Linked DNA regions of Saccharomyces cerevisiae S288C. The protein of the gene in region 1 purifies or fractionates together with the protein of each later gene. This does not show direct contact. Each region holds a gene or a part of one and is shown in the gene's direction. Other genes may lie near its edges.

What was found.
Region 2: the proteins of PWP2 (region 1) and RRP5 purify together in Saccharomyces cerevisiae (affinity purification with mass spectrometry, with the first as the bait; 6 studies listed by BioGRID). This does not show direct contact.
Region 3: the proteins of PWP2 (region 1) and BUD21 purify together in Saccharomyces cerevisiae (affinity purification with mass spectrometry, with the first as the bait; 5 studies listed by BioGRID). This does not show direct contact.

Annotation. Positions count from the first base shown.
Region 1 is NC_001135.5:219,940-224,786, reverse strand, and holds PWP2 (snoRNA-binding rRNA-processing protein PWP2), read left to right. Parts: upstream 1-1,558; coding exon 1,559-4,330; downstream 4,331-4,847. Other genes in the region: TAH1 (Tah1p), read right to left, coding at 53-388; YIH1 (Yih1p), read left to right, coding at 557-1,333; CTR86 (Ctr86p), read left to right, coding at 4,720-4,847. UniProt on the Saccharomyces cerevisiae protein: Required for bud-site selection and cell separation. Also involved in nucleolar processing of pre-18S ribosomal RNA.
Region 2 is NC_001145.3:725,434-733,096, reverse strand, and holds RRP5 (Rrp5p), read left to right. Parts: upstream 1-1,973; coding exon 1,974-7,163; downstream 7,164-7,663. Other genes in the region: 40S ribosomal protein eS10 RPS10B, read right to left, coding at 1-221, 632-683; MTF1 (RNA polymerase specificity factor), read right to left, coding at 7,446-7,663.
Region 3 is NC_001147.6:471,143-473,869, forward strand, and holds BUD21 (Bud21p), read left to right. Parts: upstream 1-1,582; coding exon 1,583-2,227; downstream 2,228-2,727. Other genes in the region: SKI7 (Ski7p), read right to left, coding at 1-478; RTS2 (Rts2p), read left to right, coding at 757-1,455; Mn(2+) transporter ATX2, read right to left, coding at 2,333-2,727. UniProt on the Saccharomyces cerevisiae protein: Functions as part of the small subunit (SSU) processome, first precursor of the small eukaryotic ribosomal subunit that coordinates the first two steps of ribosome biogenesis in transcription of the primary transcript pre-RNA and pre-18S processing.

The DNA of each region.
Region 1 (4,847 bases):
ATATATATATATAATTTTAAAGATAAATTAGAAGTGTTCCCTTTCTCTTTTCTCAGGACCGGTCGTATCCCTCCGGTAGTTCATCAACCTCTACAACAGGGATCTGTACTGAACCTACCGCTCCCTGTGCCAGCTCTAGACGATATTGCAATTTGGATCTGATAGCTACATGCTCTGCCGTTGAGGTGTACCGCAGTCCTTGCTGGCACATTTGAATAGCCTGTGTATATTCACCCAGTTTGATCAGCGCCATGGCTTTGTTGCTGTACCCGACCGGGTTCTGCGGTTGAGCAGTAATTAGTTGGTCATAACAGTGCACAGCCTCGCGATACAGGCCCTGTTTGAACAAAGAATTGCCCTGTTCCTTCTGCTTTTCAAATTGGCTCATGCTCTTTACCGTTGCTCTCTCTTTCGCAGTGCTGAAAAGAAAAAACCGTTCAAGAAAATTGCGTCTTGTGCAGTCATATACGCTGGGATATATATATATATAGATATATATACATATATATAGGAATATGTAACAAGAAAAAAAAAAGAGAGAGGAAAGAAAAGCTCAATGGATGACGATCACGAACAGTTGGTCGAAGAACTGGAGGCCGTCGAGGCCATCTATCCGGATCTTCTCTCCAAGAAGCAGGAAGACGGAAGCATCATCGTTGTGAAAGTGCCGCAGCATGAATACATGACACTGCAGATCTCCTTCCCGACACACTACCCCTCCGAGGAGGCTCCTAATGTCATCGAAGTTGGTGTCTGCACTTCTTTGGCTAAGCGCGATCTCTACGATACCAAGTACCTTCAGCATTTGTTCCAGGAAGTGATGGACTCTGTTTTCCACCGCGGATCTGTCTGTCTATTTGACTTCCTCACAGAACTCGACGGTGTCTTGTACGTTGAACCAGAGGAGGAGACAGAACCGGTCCAGCAGAGTGACATTCCCACAGACCCCTTCGAGGGCTGGACCGCGTCGGACCCCATTACTGATAGAGGCTCGACTTTCATGGCCTTTGCAGCACATGTTACCTCCGAGGAACAAGCGTTTGCCATGCTAGACCTACTGAAGACCGACTCCAAGATGCGTAAGGCAAACCATGTCATGAGTGCATGGCGAATCAAGCAGGATGGCTCTGCGGCAACATATCAAGATTCCGATGATGACGGTGAAACGGCCGCCGGCTCCAGAATGCTGCACCTCATCACCATCATGGATGTGTGGAACGTCATCGTTGTGGTGGCCCGTTGGTTCGGCGGTGCCCACATAGGTCCCGACCGGTTTAAACACATCAATTCTACGGCAAGAGAAGCTGTTGTCAGGGCCGGCTTCGACTCGTAATCATTATGATTATGTCAAGCACCTGTAACCTTGATCACATGCGACGGGAGTTCTTTTTGAAATTTTTTGGAAAAATTTTGCGATGAGCTGAAAGATGAAAAAAAAAAAAGTTTCGAGTATAGTTCTAGGTATGTACAATAACTAGTATAATATCAATAATAGTAATAATAGTATCGTTTTCAACAGGTAGACAGGAGAGCAGACCGCAGATTGAACCGCATCCCAATGAAATCCGATTTCAAGTTCTCTAACCTTTTAGGTACGGTCTACAGGCAAGGTAACATCACCTTTTCCGATGATGGCAAGCAACTACTCTCACCGGTGGGGAATAGGGTCAGCGTGTTTGACTTAATCAACAACAAATCGTTCACGTTTGAATACGAGCATCGCAAAAATATTGCTGCCATTGATCTGAACAAACAAGGCACATTGCTGATTTCTATTGACGAGGACGGTCGCGCCATCCTTGTCAATTTCAAAGCCCGTAACGTGCTTCACCATTTCAACTTCAAAGAAAAATGCTCCGCTGTGAAGTTCAGCCCTGATGGGAGACTCTTTGCATTAGCCTCAGGCAGGTTTTTACAGATTTGGAAGACTCCAGATGTTAATAAAGACAGACAGTTTGCTCCCTTCGTCCGCCATAGGGTGCATGCGGGACACTTTCAAGACATAACGTCTTTGACGTGGTCACAAGATTCCAGATTTATCCTTACGACTTCCAAAGACTTAAGCGCAAAAATATGGTCCGTAGATTCAGAGGAAAAGAACCTTGCGGCGACAACATTTAATGGGCACAGAGACTACGTTATGGGTGCGTTCTTCAGTCATGATCAGGAAAAAATCTACACTGTAAGCAAAGACGGTGCTGTCTTTGTCTGGGAATTTACCAAGAGGCCATCCGATGACGACGACAATGAAAGTGAAGACGACGACAAGCAAGAAGAAGTAGATATTTCGAAATACAGCTGGAGAATCACAAAGAAACATTTTTTTTACGCAAACCAAGCCAAAGTAAAGTGTGTCACCTTCCATCCAGCAACAAGGCTTTTAGCTGTCGGATTTACTAGTGGGGAATTCCGTCTTTACGATTTGCCTGATTTCACTTTGATTCAACAGCTTTCTATGGGGCAAAACCCAGTCAACACCGTTAGCGTCAACCAAACCGGCGAATGGCTGGCGTTTGGTTCCAGCAAACTGGGCCAATTACTAGTTTACGAATGGCAATCGGAATCGTATATCTTGAAGCAGCAGGGCCATTTCGATTCCACAAATAGTCTTGCATACTCTCCGGATGGTTCACGTGTAGTGACAGCATCCGAAGATGGGAAAATCAAAGTTTGGGACATTACATCAGGGTTTTGTTTGGCCACTTTTGAAGAACACACCTCTTCAGTTACTGCTGTACAGTTTGCGAAAAGGGGTCAGGTCATGTTCTCATCATCGTTAGATGGTACGGTGAGAGCGTGGGACTTAATCAGGTATCGTAATTTTAGAACATTCACTGGTACTGAAAGAATCCAATTCAATTGTTTAGCGGTGGATCCATCAGGTGAAGTGGTTTGTGCCGGGTCCCTGGACAATTTTGACATTCATGTTTGGTCCGTGCAAACTGGTCAATTATTAGATGCTTTGTCCGGACATGAAGGCCCTGTTTCGTGTCTTTCATTTAGTCAAGAGAACAGTGTCTTAGCTTCTGCATCATGGGATAAAACAATTAGAATCTGGTCCATATTTGGTAGAAGCCAACAAGTAGAACCTATAGAAGTTTATTCCGATGTTTTAGCCTTATCAATGAGACCAGATGGTAAAGAAGTTGCAGTATCTACCTTAAAGGGTCAAATATCCATTTTCAACATAGAAGATGCCAAGCAGGTGGGCAACATTGACTGTAGAAAGGATATAATATCTGGTAGGTTTAATCAAGATAGGTTCACTGCCAAAAATTCTGAACGATCCAAATTTTTTACTACAATACATTACAGTTTTGATGGTATGGCTATTGTGGCTGGTGGTAATAATAACTCCATTTGTCTATATGATGTTCCAAATGAAGTCTTGTTAAAAAGATTCATTGTGTCCAGAAACATGGCTTTGAATGGTACTCTCGAATTTTTAAACAGTAAGAAAATGACTGAAGCAGGTTCATTAGATTTGATTGACGATGCAGGCGAAAATTCAGATTTGGAGGATCGTATTGATAATTCTTTACCAGGGTCTCAAAGAGGTGGCGACCTGTCCACAAGAAAAATGAGACCAGAGGTTAGAGTTACTTCGGTGCAATTCTCCCCAACGGCGAATGCATTTGCCGCTGCTTCAACGGAAGGTTTATTGATATATTCCACCAATGACACGATATTATTTGATCCCTTTGATCTGGATGTGGACGTCACCCCCCATTCTACTGTAGAGGCGCTACGAGAAAAGCAGTTTTTAAATGCATTAGTAATGGCGTTCAGGTTAAATGAAGAATATTTGATCAATAAAGTCTATGAAGCCATACCTATTAAGGAAATCCCCTTGGTTGCAAGTAATATTCCTGCAATATATTTACCGAGGATTCTGAAGTTCATCGGTGATTTTGCCATTGAATCCCAACACATTGAGTTTAACCTAATTTGGATCAAAGCTCTATTATCTGCGAGCGGTGGTTACATAAATGAACACAAATATCTCTTCTCGACGGCTATGAGGTCGATACAAAGATTTATTGTTAGAGTGGCTAAGGAAGTAGTCAATACCACTACTGATAACAAATACACCTATAGATTTTTGGTATCAACTGATGGGTCCATGGAAGATGGCGCGGCTGATGATGACGAGGTTCTATTAAAAGATGACGCAGATGAAGATAACGAAGAGAACGAAGAGAACGATGTAGTCATGGAATCTGACGACGAGGAAGGATGGATTGGTTTCAATGGGAAGGATAACAAATTACCCTTGTCTAATGAAAATGATTCCAGTGATGAAGAAGAAAATGAGAAAGAGCTTCCTTGAAAAATATTCACTGTCCTCTATTTATGCACATTCACATCATGTATTCCCCAAGTATAGAACTATATAAAGCATTACATTTGTATTTAATATCAACAAAAAAAAATATCATCGCCAATATCGATATACATCATGATGAGAGCGCCTAATATAAACTGAGGCTACCATTACGGGAGTCGTCCTTTGACTGACGAGGCTATTTTCCTTATATATAAGGCATCATCGCTTCAGTAAAAAAAAAAATAGGAAGGGAAAAAATGAAGAATTGATGGGATGAGGAAAAAATTTGACACAAATTTATCGACTACCGTTTCATACTATCATCGGGAGAACAATTACACTAAGCCTTATAAAATTATTGATTCATCAAAAAAGAAGATAACTAAATAACAATGCCTATGAACAATTTTCTAGATGAATTCAATTTATTTGATTCAATCATTACCATGATGAAGAACGACCCATGTTGCGTCGAGGATTATGAGCCAATCGTCGAAAACCTGAACCGTATATTTCAAAG
Region 2 (7,663 bases), on another chromosome or scaffold:
GTAGGTACCTGGGACAATGTGTTCAGGCAAGTTCAAGTATTCTCTCAAGTATTCAACACCTTCTTCAGTCAAAGTGTAATAGTAGTATTGCCATGAGAATTGAGTCTTAACGTAACCCTTAGAAGTCAAGGATTGCAAAGCCTTGATAACATACAAGTTCTTGGTATCAATTTCTTCGTGCTTAGCTTGGTTGAAATCCTTCTTAGCGACGACAACACCTTCTATTTCGATATGCGATCGTAATTCAATGATCTTCCTTGTTAGTAATAATATTTCTTACGATATCATGATTTCAATTGTTTGTGGTCCTTTTGCAATAATACGGAAACTCCGGAAACTGTAAAGTAAATGATATAATCGCTTTGATCATAATATTAGCATTTCTATAAGGACTCAAAAGTTCAAACATTATAAAAATGGACGCGTGAAATAATGGAATTCTGCTTAGGTTGCACTTTTCTTTCGGATTCATGCACTGCCGTACTTGTCCACAAAGATCTTTTTGAAACAATCGGTTTTCTACCACTTTTAATGATATTCAAGTTCAATTTAATTGTATTTTCATTTATCATCTTTGCTATCCATTTCGGAGCATATCACTGCATATTTCACCTAAAAAATGCAAACATACCTTGAAACAAGTATTGGTGAATTTTGTTTCTTTCTTGCTTTGGCATCAACATCTTGAACGGTTAGTTATGATCTGTGTTTTCTTGGTTTCAGTTGTGCTAGTTCTACCCCATTTCAAATAACATGTATCCAAAGACGTATACCTTTAATTCCTATATTGTTTTGAAAAACTCAGGCTTCCAACTCGGAAACTATTTTGAGACGCAACTTAAAAATCGTGAAAAGGGCATATACACCCACACATGCGCGATGTGCGGATGTATTATGTCTTGATTTTATAAGACGCCGATCCAAAAAATGACAAAATAAATCTGCGAACTCTAAGAACTATATGTCACTAAAATAATTATTAAAAAAGATCAAATTACCCAGATTTGAGTGTTGTAACTTAAATCAATTGAAAAACACCGGAAGACAACGTAGCCAAATTATAGGCTTGATAGCAACTTTTTTTTAGTATGTCTCACATCTAAATCCAAAAAAAAATAAGTGCTCACCATTGATGGTATATTTCCTACTCTTTAGCTTTATATGAACTCGATCAATATTTGATGGCTATTAAGTGGCTTTACCTAAATGGTCATATACACAGGGTCGAAACAAACAGCAGGCGAAACACTTCATCCGGCGGTAAAAAACTACTTCAGTACATCTCTCTCTTGAGCTTATTCTCTAATTTTCCAATGTTAAAAAGTTTGATATGCCATGAAAAAGGTTCTTGTTCAGCGGTTTATCCTAATTAATAGAAAACATATCAATTCCAGTGCGTAAGAGGTTTCCATATGCTTTTCATTTTGCTAAACAGATATTAAACAGGGTTTAAGGCAAAAAACGTAAATCCCAACAATATGTATTACGCAGTTACTGAGAATATTCAATCCTGAACTCTGTTGTTAAACTCTTTTATAAATATCCTGCTCGTTATTTATAGTGCTATTATTTGTGTATGATTTTTCAACTACATAATTGGTAAGTACATATAGGAAAACATTATTCTGGCCAGATGGATGCTTGTTTCTGGGCTTACTTTATTCAACAAATTATTAGTAGACGTAAACTTACTTGTTGCCGCGGTACATATTTCACCATTAGAGAGTTTATTGTCACTACATTGGCCAGTCATTCAATGCCCGCGTGCAAAGTGATCTAAGTCGTTTCTGATTCCGAAAAATTTTGAAAAATTTTAAGATGAGATGAGCTAAACCCTTCTATACATTAGCAGCAACTGAAGAAAGCTCAGTAAGGTTCGTCTATTCATTTTTATTTAAAGCTATTAGTATCTACTACTACAGTCTGAATCAAGGACCGTTTAATATAAAAAACACACCTGTACTGTTGCAAAAATGGTAGCTTCCACCAAAAGAAAGAGAGATGAAGATTTTCCACTTTCGAGGGAAGACTCCACAAAGCAGCCCTCTACCTCATCATTAGTAAGGAACACTGAGGAAGTCTCTTTTCCAAGGGGTGGTGCGTCTGCTTTGACTCCTTTAGAACTGAAACAAGTTGCTAACGAAGCTGCAAGTGATGTGTTATTTGGTAATGAAAGTGTCAAAGCATCTGAACCAGCAAGTAGACCCTTGAAAAAGAAGAAGACAACAAAGAAATCCACTTCTAAAGATTCCGAGGCCTCATCAGCAAACTCTGATGAAGCTAGAGCTGGACTAATTGAACATGTCAACTTTAAAACGTTGAAGAATGGCTCTTCTTTGCTTGGTCAGATTTCTGCTATCACTAAACAAGATTTATGTATAACATTCACAGACGGAATTTCTGGTTATGTGAACCTAACACATATCTCAGAAGAATTTACTTCGATTTTGGAAGATCTGGATGAAGATATGGATAGTGATACTGATGCTGCTGATGAGAAAAAATCCAAAGTTGAAGATGCAGAATACGAATCGTCCGACGACGAAGATGAAAAATTAGATAAATCTAATGAATTACCTAATTTAAGAAGGTACTTTCACATTGGTCAATGGCTAAGATGCTCTGTCATCAAGAATACCTCTTTAGAACCATCAACTAAGAAATCCAAAAAGAAGAGAATAGAGTTAACCATCGAACCTTCATCCGTCAACATATACGCAGATGAAGATTTGGTTAAATCCACGTCTATTCAATGCGCGGTCAAATCCATCGAGGATCACGGTGCTACCTTAGATGTTGGTCTGCCAGGCTTTACAGGGTTCATTGCTAAGAAGGATTTTGGCAATTTTGAAAAATTATTGCCGGGGGCTGTTTTCTTAGGTAATATCACCAAAAAATCCGACAGATCAATTGTTGTAAATACAGACTTTTCGGACAAGAAAAACAAAATTACTCAAATCTCCTCAATTGATGCCATTATCCCTGGTCAAATCGTCGACTTATTGTGTGAATCAATCACTAAAAATGGTATTGCCGGTAAAGTTTTTGGGTTAGTATCCGGTGTTGTCAACGTATCACATTTAAGAACATTTTCCGAAGAAGATTTAAAGCATAAATTTGTTATTGGTTCTAGTATTAGATGCCGAATTATTGCTTGTTTAGAAAACAAAAGCGGTGACAAGGTCTTGATTTTGTCAAACCTTCCACACATTTTAAAACTAGAAGACGCTTTGAGATCTACTGAAGGTCTTGATGCATTCCCTATCGGCTACACATTTGAATCATGCAGCATTAAAGGGCGTGATTCCGAATATCTATACTTAGCATTGGATGATGATAGATTAGGTAAAGTACATTCTTCAAGAGTTGGTGAAATTGAAAATTCAGAAAATTTAAGTTCCAGGGTCCTTGGTTATAGCCCTGTTGATGACATTTATCAATTGTCCACTGATCCAAAATACCTAAAATTAAAGTATCTAAGAACAAATGATATTCCAATCGGAGAATTATTACCAAGTTGTGAAATAACTTCCGTCTCTAGTTCAGGTATTGAATTGAAGATATTTAACGGGCAATTTAAGGCTTCTGTTCCACCATTACACATTTCAGATACCAGGCTAGTTTATCCAGAAAGGAAGTTCAAGATAGGTTCTAAGGTTAAAGGTAGAGTTATATCAGTTAATTCAAGAGGTAATGTGCATGTCACTTTGAAAAAATCATTAGTTAATATTGAAGACAACGAATTACCACTGGTTTCCACTTATGAAAACGCCAAAAATATCAAAGAAAAAAATGAAAAGACTTTAGCAACTATTCAAGTTTTCAAACCAAATGGTTGCATCATTTCCTTTTTTGGTGGTTTATCGGGATTTTTACCTAATTCTGAGATCTCAGAAGTCTTTGTGAAGAGACCAGAAGAACATTTAAGACTCGGTCAAACAGTAATAGTAAAACTTCTTGACGTCGATGCTGACAGGAGGAGAATTATTGCCACATGCAAAGTTTCAAATGAACAGGCTGCCCAACAAAAAGATACCATTGAAAATATTGTTCCAGGCAGAACAATCATTACTGTCCATGTTATCGAAAAAACCAAAGATTCTGTTATTGTTGAAATTCCTGATGTTGGCTTGCGTGGTGTCATCTACGTTGGTCATCTCTCTGATTCCAGAATTGAACAAAATAGGGCTCAGTTGAAAAAGCTCAGAATCGGCACTGAACTGACTGGTTTGGTAATTGATAAAGATACAAGAACCCGCGTTTTCAATATGTCCCTCAAAAGTTCTCTGATTAAAGACGCTAAAAAGGAGACTCTTCCATTAACATATGATGATGTTAAGGATCTAAATAAAGATGTACCAATGCACGCTTACATTAAATCCATTTCTGATAAGGGTCTCTTTGTTGCATTTAACGGTAAGTTCATTGGGTTGGTTTTACCAAGTTACGCTGTTGATAGTAGGGATATTGATATCAGCAAGGCGTTTTATATTAACCAATCCGTTACCGTCTATTTATTAAGAACAGACGACAAAAACCAGAAATTCCTATTATCTCTAAAAGCTCCAAAGGTCAAAGAAGAGAAGAAGAAAGTTGAATCTAATATCGAAGATCCTGTTGATTCGTCTATCAAAAGCTGGGACGATTTGTCTATTGGTAGTATTGTTAAAGCAAAAATCAAGAGCGTCAAGAAAAATCAATTGAATGTTATTTTAGCGGCAAATTTGCATGGCAGAGTGGACATTGCTGAAGTGTTTGACACGTATGAAGAAATTACAGATAAGAAACAGCCGTTGAGTAATTACAAAAAAGACGATGTCATCAAGGTAAAAATCATAGGTAATCACGATGTCAAGAGCCATAAGTTCTTGCCGATTACACACAAAATCTCAAAGGCTAGCGTTTTGGAATTATCCATGAAACCATCAGAATTAAAATCTAAGGAAGTGCACACAAAAAGTCTTGAGGAAATCAACATTGGGCAAGAGTTAACTGGCTTTGTCAACAATTCATCAGGTAACCACCTATGGCTAACAATTTCTCCAGTTTTGAAGGCGAGAATTTCTCTACTAGATTTAGCTGATAACGATTCAAATTTTTCAGAAAATATTGAATCTGTTTTCCCATTAGGTTCAGCCCTCCAAGTGAAAGTTGCCTCTATTGACCGCGAGCATGGCTTTGTCAATGCCATTGGAAAGAGTCATGTTGACATAAATATGTCCACAATTAAAGTTGGTGATGAATTGCCAGGTCGTGTTCTAAAAATAGCTGAAAAGTATGTTTTGTTAGACCTTGGTAACAAAGTGACTGGTATTTCCTTTATTACGGATGCGTTAAATGATTTCTCCCTAACATTGAAGGAAGCTTTTGAAGACAAAATTAACAACGTCATTCCAACTACCGTTTTATCTGTTGATGAACAGAATAAGAAAATTGAACTATCCCTTCGTCCTGCTACTGCAAAAACTCGTTCGATCAAATCTCATGAAGATTTGAAGCAAGGCGAGATTGTAGATGGTATTGTTAAGAATGTGAATGACAAAGGTATTTTTGTTTACTTGAGTAGGAAAGTTGAAGCCTTTGTCCCTGTTAGTAAACTATCTGATTCTTACTTGAAGGAATGGAAGAAGTTTTACAAGCCTATGCAATACGTTTTGGGAAAAGTCGTTACATGCGATGAAGATTCTCGTATTTCTCTAACCCTAAGAGAATCCGAAATAAATGGTGATTTAAAGGTTCTAAAGACCTATTCAGACATTAAGGCTGGTGATGTTTTCGAGGGTACAATTAAAAGCGTCACTGATTTTGGTGTTTTCGTCAAACTAGATAACACTGTTAATGTTACTGGTTTGGCACATATTACTGAAATTGCGGACAAAAAACCTGAAGATCTTTCTGCCTTGTTTGGTGTTGGGGACAGAGTAAAAGCTATTGTTTTGAAAACAAATCCAGAAAAAAAACAAATTTCATTGAGCTTGAAAGCGTCTCATTTCTCTAAAGAAGCCGAATTGGCTTCTACTACCACCACCACTACTACTGTGGATCAACTGGAAAAGGAGGATGAAGATGAAGTCATGGCAGATGCTGGCTTCAACGATTCCGACAGCGAATCTGATATCGGAGACCAAAACACCGAAGTTGCCGATAGGAAGCCTGAAACATCTTCGGATGGGCTATCCTTGAGTGCTGGTTTTGATTGGACTGCTTCCATTTTGGATCAAGCGCAAGAAGAAGAAGAGTCTGACCAAGATCAAGAAGACTTTACTGAAAATAAGAAACACAAGCACAAGAGAAGAAAGGAAAATGTTGTTCAGGATAAGACCATTGATATCAACACTAGGGCACCAGAATCTGTTGCCGATTTTGAACGTCTACTTATCGGTAATCCAAATTCGTCCGTAGTGTGGATGAACTATATGGCTTTCCAACTACAACTGAGTGAGATCGAGAAGGCTCGAGAGCTCGCAGAACGTGCGCTAAAGACCATCAACTTCAGAGAAGAAGCCGAGAAGTTGAATATTTGGATTGCAATGCTGAATTTAGAAAATACTTTTGGTACCGAAGAAACTTTAGAAGAAGTGTTTAGCAGGGCTTGTCAGTATATGGACTCATATACTATTCATACAAAACTGCTTGGTATTTATGAAATAAGTGAAAAGTTCGACAAAGCAGCAGAATTATTCAAAGCTACAGCTAAGAAATTTGGCGGCGAGAAAGTTTCTATCTGGGTATCGTGGGGTGATTTTTTGATCAGCCACAATGAAGAGCAAGAGGCACGTACTATTTTAGGTAATGCTTTGAAGGCCCTACCAAAGCGTAATCATATCGAGGTTGTCCGCAAGTTTGCTCAATTAGAATTTGCAAAGGGTGACCCAGAAAGGGGTCGGTCATTATTCGAAGGTTTGGTTGCTGATGCGCCAAAGAGAATTGACCTGTGGAACGTTTACGTAGACCAGGAAGTGAAGGCAAAAGATAAGAAGAAGGTGGAAGATTTATTTGAGAGAATAATAACCAAAAAAATAACAAGGAAGCAGGCTAAGTTTTTCTTTAATAAATGGTTACAATTTGAGGAATCTGAAGGTGACGAAAAGACCATTGAATACGTTAAAGCTAAAGCTACTGAGTATGTCGCTAGCCATGAATCTCAAAAAGCAGACGAATAATTCCTGATGGATTTTTAACTGTAAAGTAATATAAATGGCTAAGTTTGTAAAGTATATTTGTAAAGTACATAGAATGTAAAGTTTCAAGAAGCAATTTCTATCGATCAATTTAGCTTTGACGGTTCGTAGAGCTCCTTTTCTTAAAGTTTTAGTTCCGCTTCTCGCTTCTTGATTACAAGATGGTTCCGTGTTAACGAAGATTGAGTTCTATGTATTTTTTATATTCACACGCTAAAATCACATATTTATTAAATAATGAAGTAAATTTTAAAAGCACTTTTTTCAACCAGAGTGCTCTGTTTGATACATATCAACAAAATCCATTAAAATATCTGGTTTGAAAGGCCACTCCATGAATAATTTCGTTAGATATATAAACTCGTCATTTGTCAAATCAATCGGACACTTTTTTAGCAGATCTTTGTCAGTGATTCTACTATTAAAATATTGTTGGCCACCATGTCCCAGCGAGTCCATGACAGTATTCAAGGGTGTTCTTT
Region 3 (2,727 bases), on another chromosome or scaffold:
TTTTATCTTTTATGATAAAGTTTGTGAACGCAAAATCGTCGGTTTGATTTATGCATGGATCGTTTTTCAAGAAACAGTAATGGTTCATTTCTTTAATAGCCTTCCATGACTCTTCTAAGTTGAGTTTATCATCAGGCGATTTCCTTTTGGTAGGGAGTTCGTTTTCTTTGCTGTCTAATGTCACTGATTTTCCTTGTTTCTCCAAATCACTATTTGACTTCTTTAAGGCAGACAACTTTAAACTCAATGAAACACTATGCTGGTTCGGGGTAAAGTCGCTTCTTTTTACCTTGTCTTTTGCAAGTAGCGTCTTCAGATCCTTCCTTTTTGTCTCAGCATTGTTATCTTTAGTTTCTCTATTCTTATGTAGTCTTTCTAGTAAGGATGCACTTTTCGATGTACTATGAGACTGGTCCGCACTTAAAAGGCCTTTAGATTTTTCTATTCTTTTTCTTGCTAATTGCTCTAATAACGACATGTCAGGTGGTACTGTAAGTTTCGAAGACCACCTCCTCGTACGTGTATTGTAGAAGGGTCTCTAGGTTTATACCTCCAATCTGTTATAGTACATATTATAGTACACCAATGTAAATCTGGTCCGGGTTACACAACACTTTGTCCTGTACTTTGAAAACTGGAAAAACTCCGCTAGTTGAAATTAATATCAAATGGAAAAGTCAGTATCATCATTCTTTTCTTGACAAGTCCTAAAAAGAGCGAAAACACAGGGTTGTTTGATTGTAGAAAATCACAGCGATGGCAGATTATGATAGTGCGAAATATTGGTCCAAGCAGGGAGCTCGTCGTGGGTTACAGAAAACCCGTTACTACTGCCAAATATGCCAAAGGCAATGTAAAGATGCAAACGGATTTCAATCACATAACAAATCGCCATCTCATTTAAGGAAGATTAGTCAAGTGACAGCTGAGGACGCTAGGCGCTACAATATCCAGTTTGAAAAGGGATTTCTACAGTTATTGAAGCAGCGGCACGGAGAAAAATGGATTGATGCTAACAAAGTATACAACGAGTATGTTCAAGATCGCGATCATGTACATATGAATGCCACCATGCATCGTTCTTTGACGCAGTTTGTCCGGTACCTAGGCCGCGCGGGCAAGGTAGACGTGGATATGGATATTGATGATACATCTGAGAACGTTGAAGGTCCTTTGCTTATCAGGATCCATCCCTCATCTTTATCATCACCTTCTGAAGATGGAATGCTGCGAAGTCAACAAGAGGAGCAAGAAGTCATAGCCGCCGAGCTTTTGAAAAGACAACTCAATCGTGCTAAGCGACAAACTGAAAAGGTATATCAACCAGAGATGAAATCGGAAATTAGCGGGGATAGCACTCTGAAACGTGTTCAAGTCACCTTCCACGGGAATGGTCGGGTAAATAAAAAGAAAAAGAAGGTTCCTCCACGGAAAGATGGTATCAAGTTCCGTTGATTGAAAATTTTTCTTTTCAAGCGATGAGGTTAGCGAAGTTGTTCGAACAAGCCCAAATATGTTTAGAAGGCAGTACGAATTGATACCCTGAACTGTTACTACCCGTATACACGTATTAAGTAAGACAATGAGTAATGGACACGTCAAGTTTGATGCCGATGAAAGTCAAGCCAGCGCAAGTGCTGTCACGGATAGACAAGATGATGTGCTGGTAATATCAAAAAAGGACAAGGAAGTGCATTCAAGTAGTGATGAGGAAAGTGATGATGATGATGCTCCACAAGAAGAAGGGCTTCACTCTGGGAAAAGTGAGGTAGAATCACAGATCACTCAGAGGGAGGAGGCTATAAGGCTGGAACAATCACAATTGCGGTCCAAGAGAAGGAAGCAAAATGAATTATACGCCAAGCAAAAGAAATCAGTGAATGAGACAGAGGTCACTGATGAAGTAATTGCGGAGCTTCCTGAGGAATTGCTAAAAAATATAGATCAGAAGGACGAAGGTAGTACGCAGTACTCATCTTCAAGACATGTAACTTTCGATAAATTGGATGAGTCAGATGAAAATGAAGAGGCATTGGCTAAAGCTATAAAAACTAAGAAAAGGAAGACATTAAAAAATTTAAGGAAAGATTCGGTGAAAAGAGGAAAATTTAGAGTTCAATTGTTATCCACCACACAAGATTCTAAAACATTACCACCAAAGAAAGAATCATCCATCATACGTTCAAAAGACCGTTGGCTAAATAGAAAGGCTTTGAATAAAGGGTAATATATAGCATACAACATAATAAAATAATAGTACAATCACAAAATTAATCATAATGTTCATTTATCTATAATCAAACAATGAGAATATATACTGAAGTTTGGTAGGTTATTCTTCAGAGATGCAGTACGATATCACCAACGGTATGCAGACACCTATCAAAACATAAACGGATTCATCATGAGGTAAAACGACTTCCTGTTCAACGCTGAGATCGTGATCATGAGAATCTCCACCAACAAATGCTGTGAAAGACGCATATAGTAAACTGCCACCACTCATAAGCAGAAGATTTCCACTTATCCAATCCATCGTTGGCGAATGACTCAGATTCAAAAGGGATAACACTATGTATCCGATCGGAGTCGATGACGCAAACAAGAAAACGTTACAGATCACCTCCCATTTCATTAAGTTTTGTCTCGATACCATCAAACTAGTGAGGGAAAGAACGGCAGGAATTTTATGAATAACTATAGCAATTAACACCACTATGAGCAGTG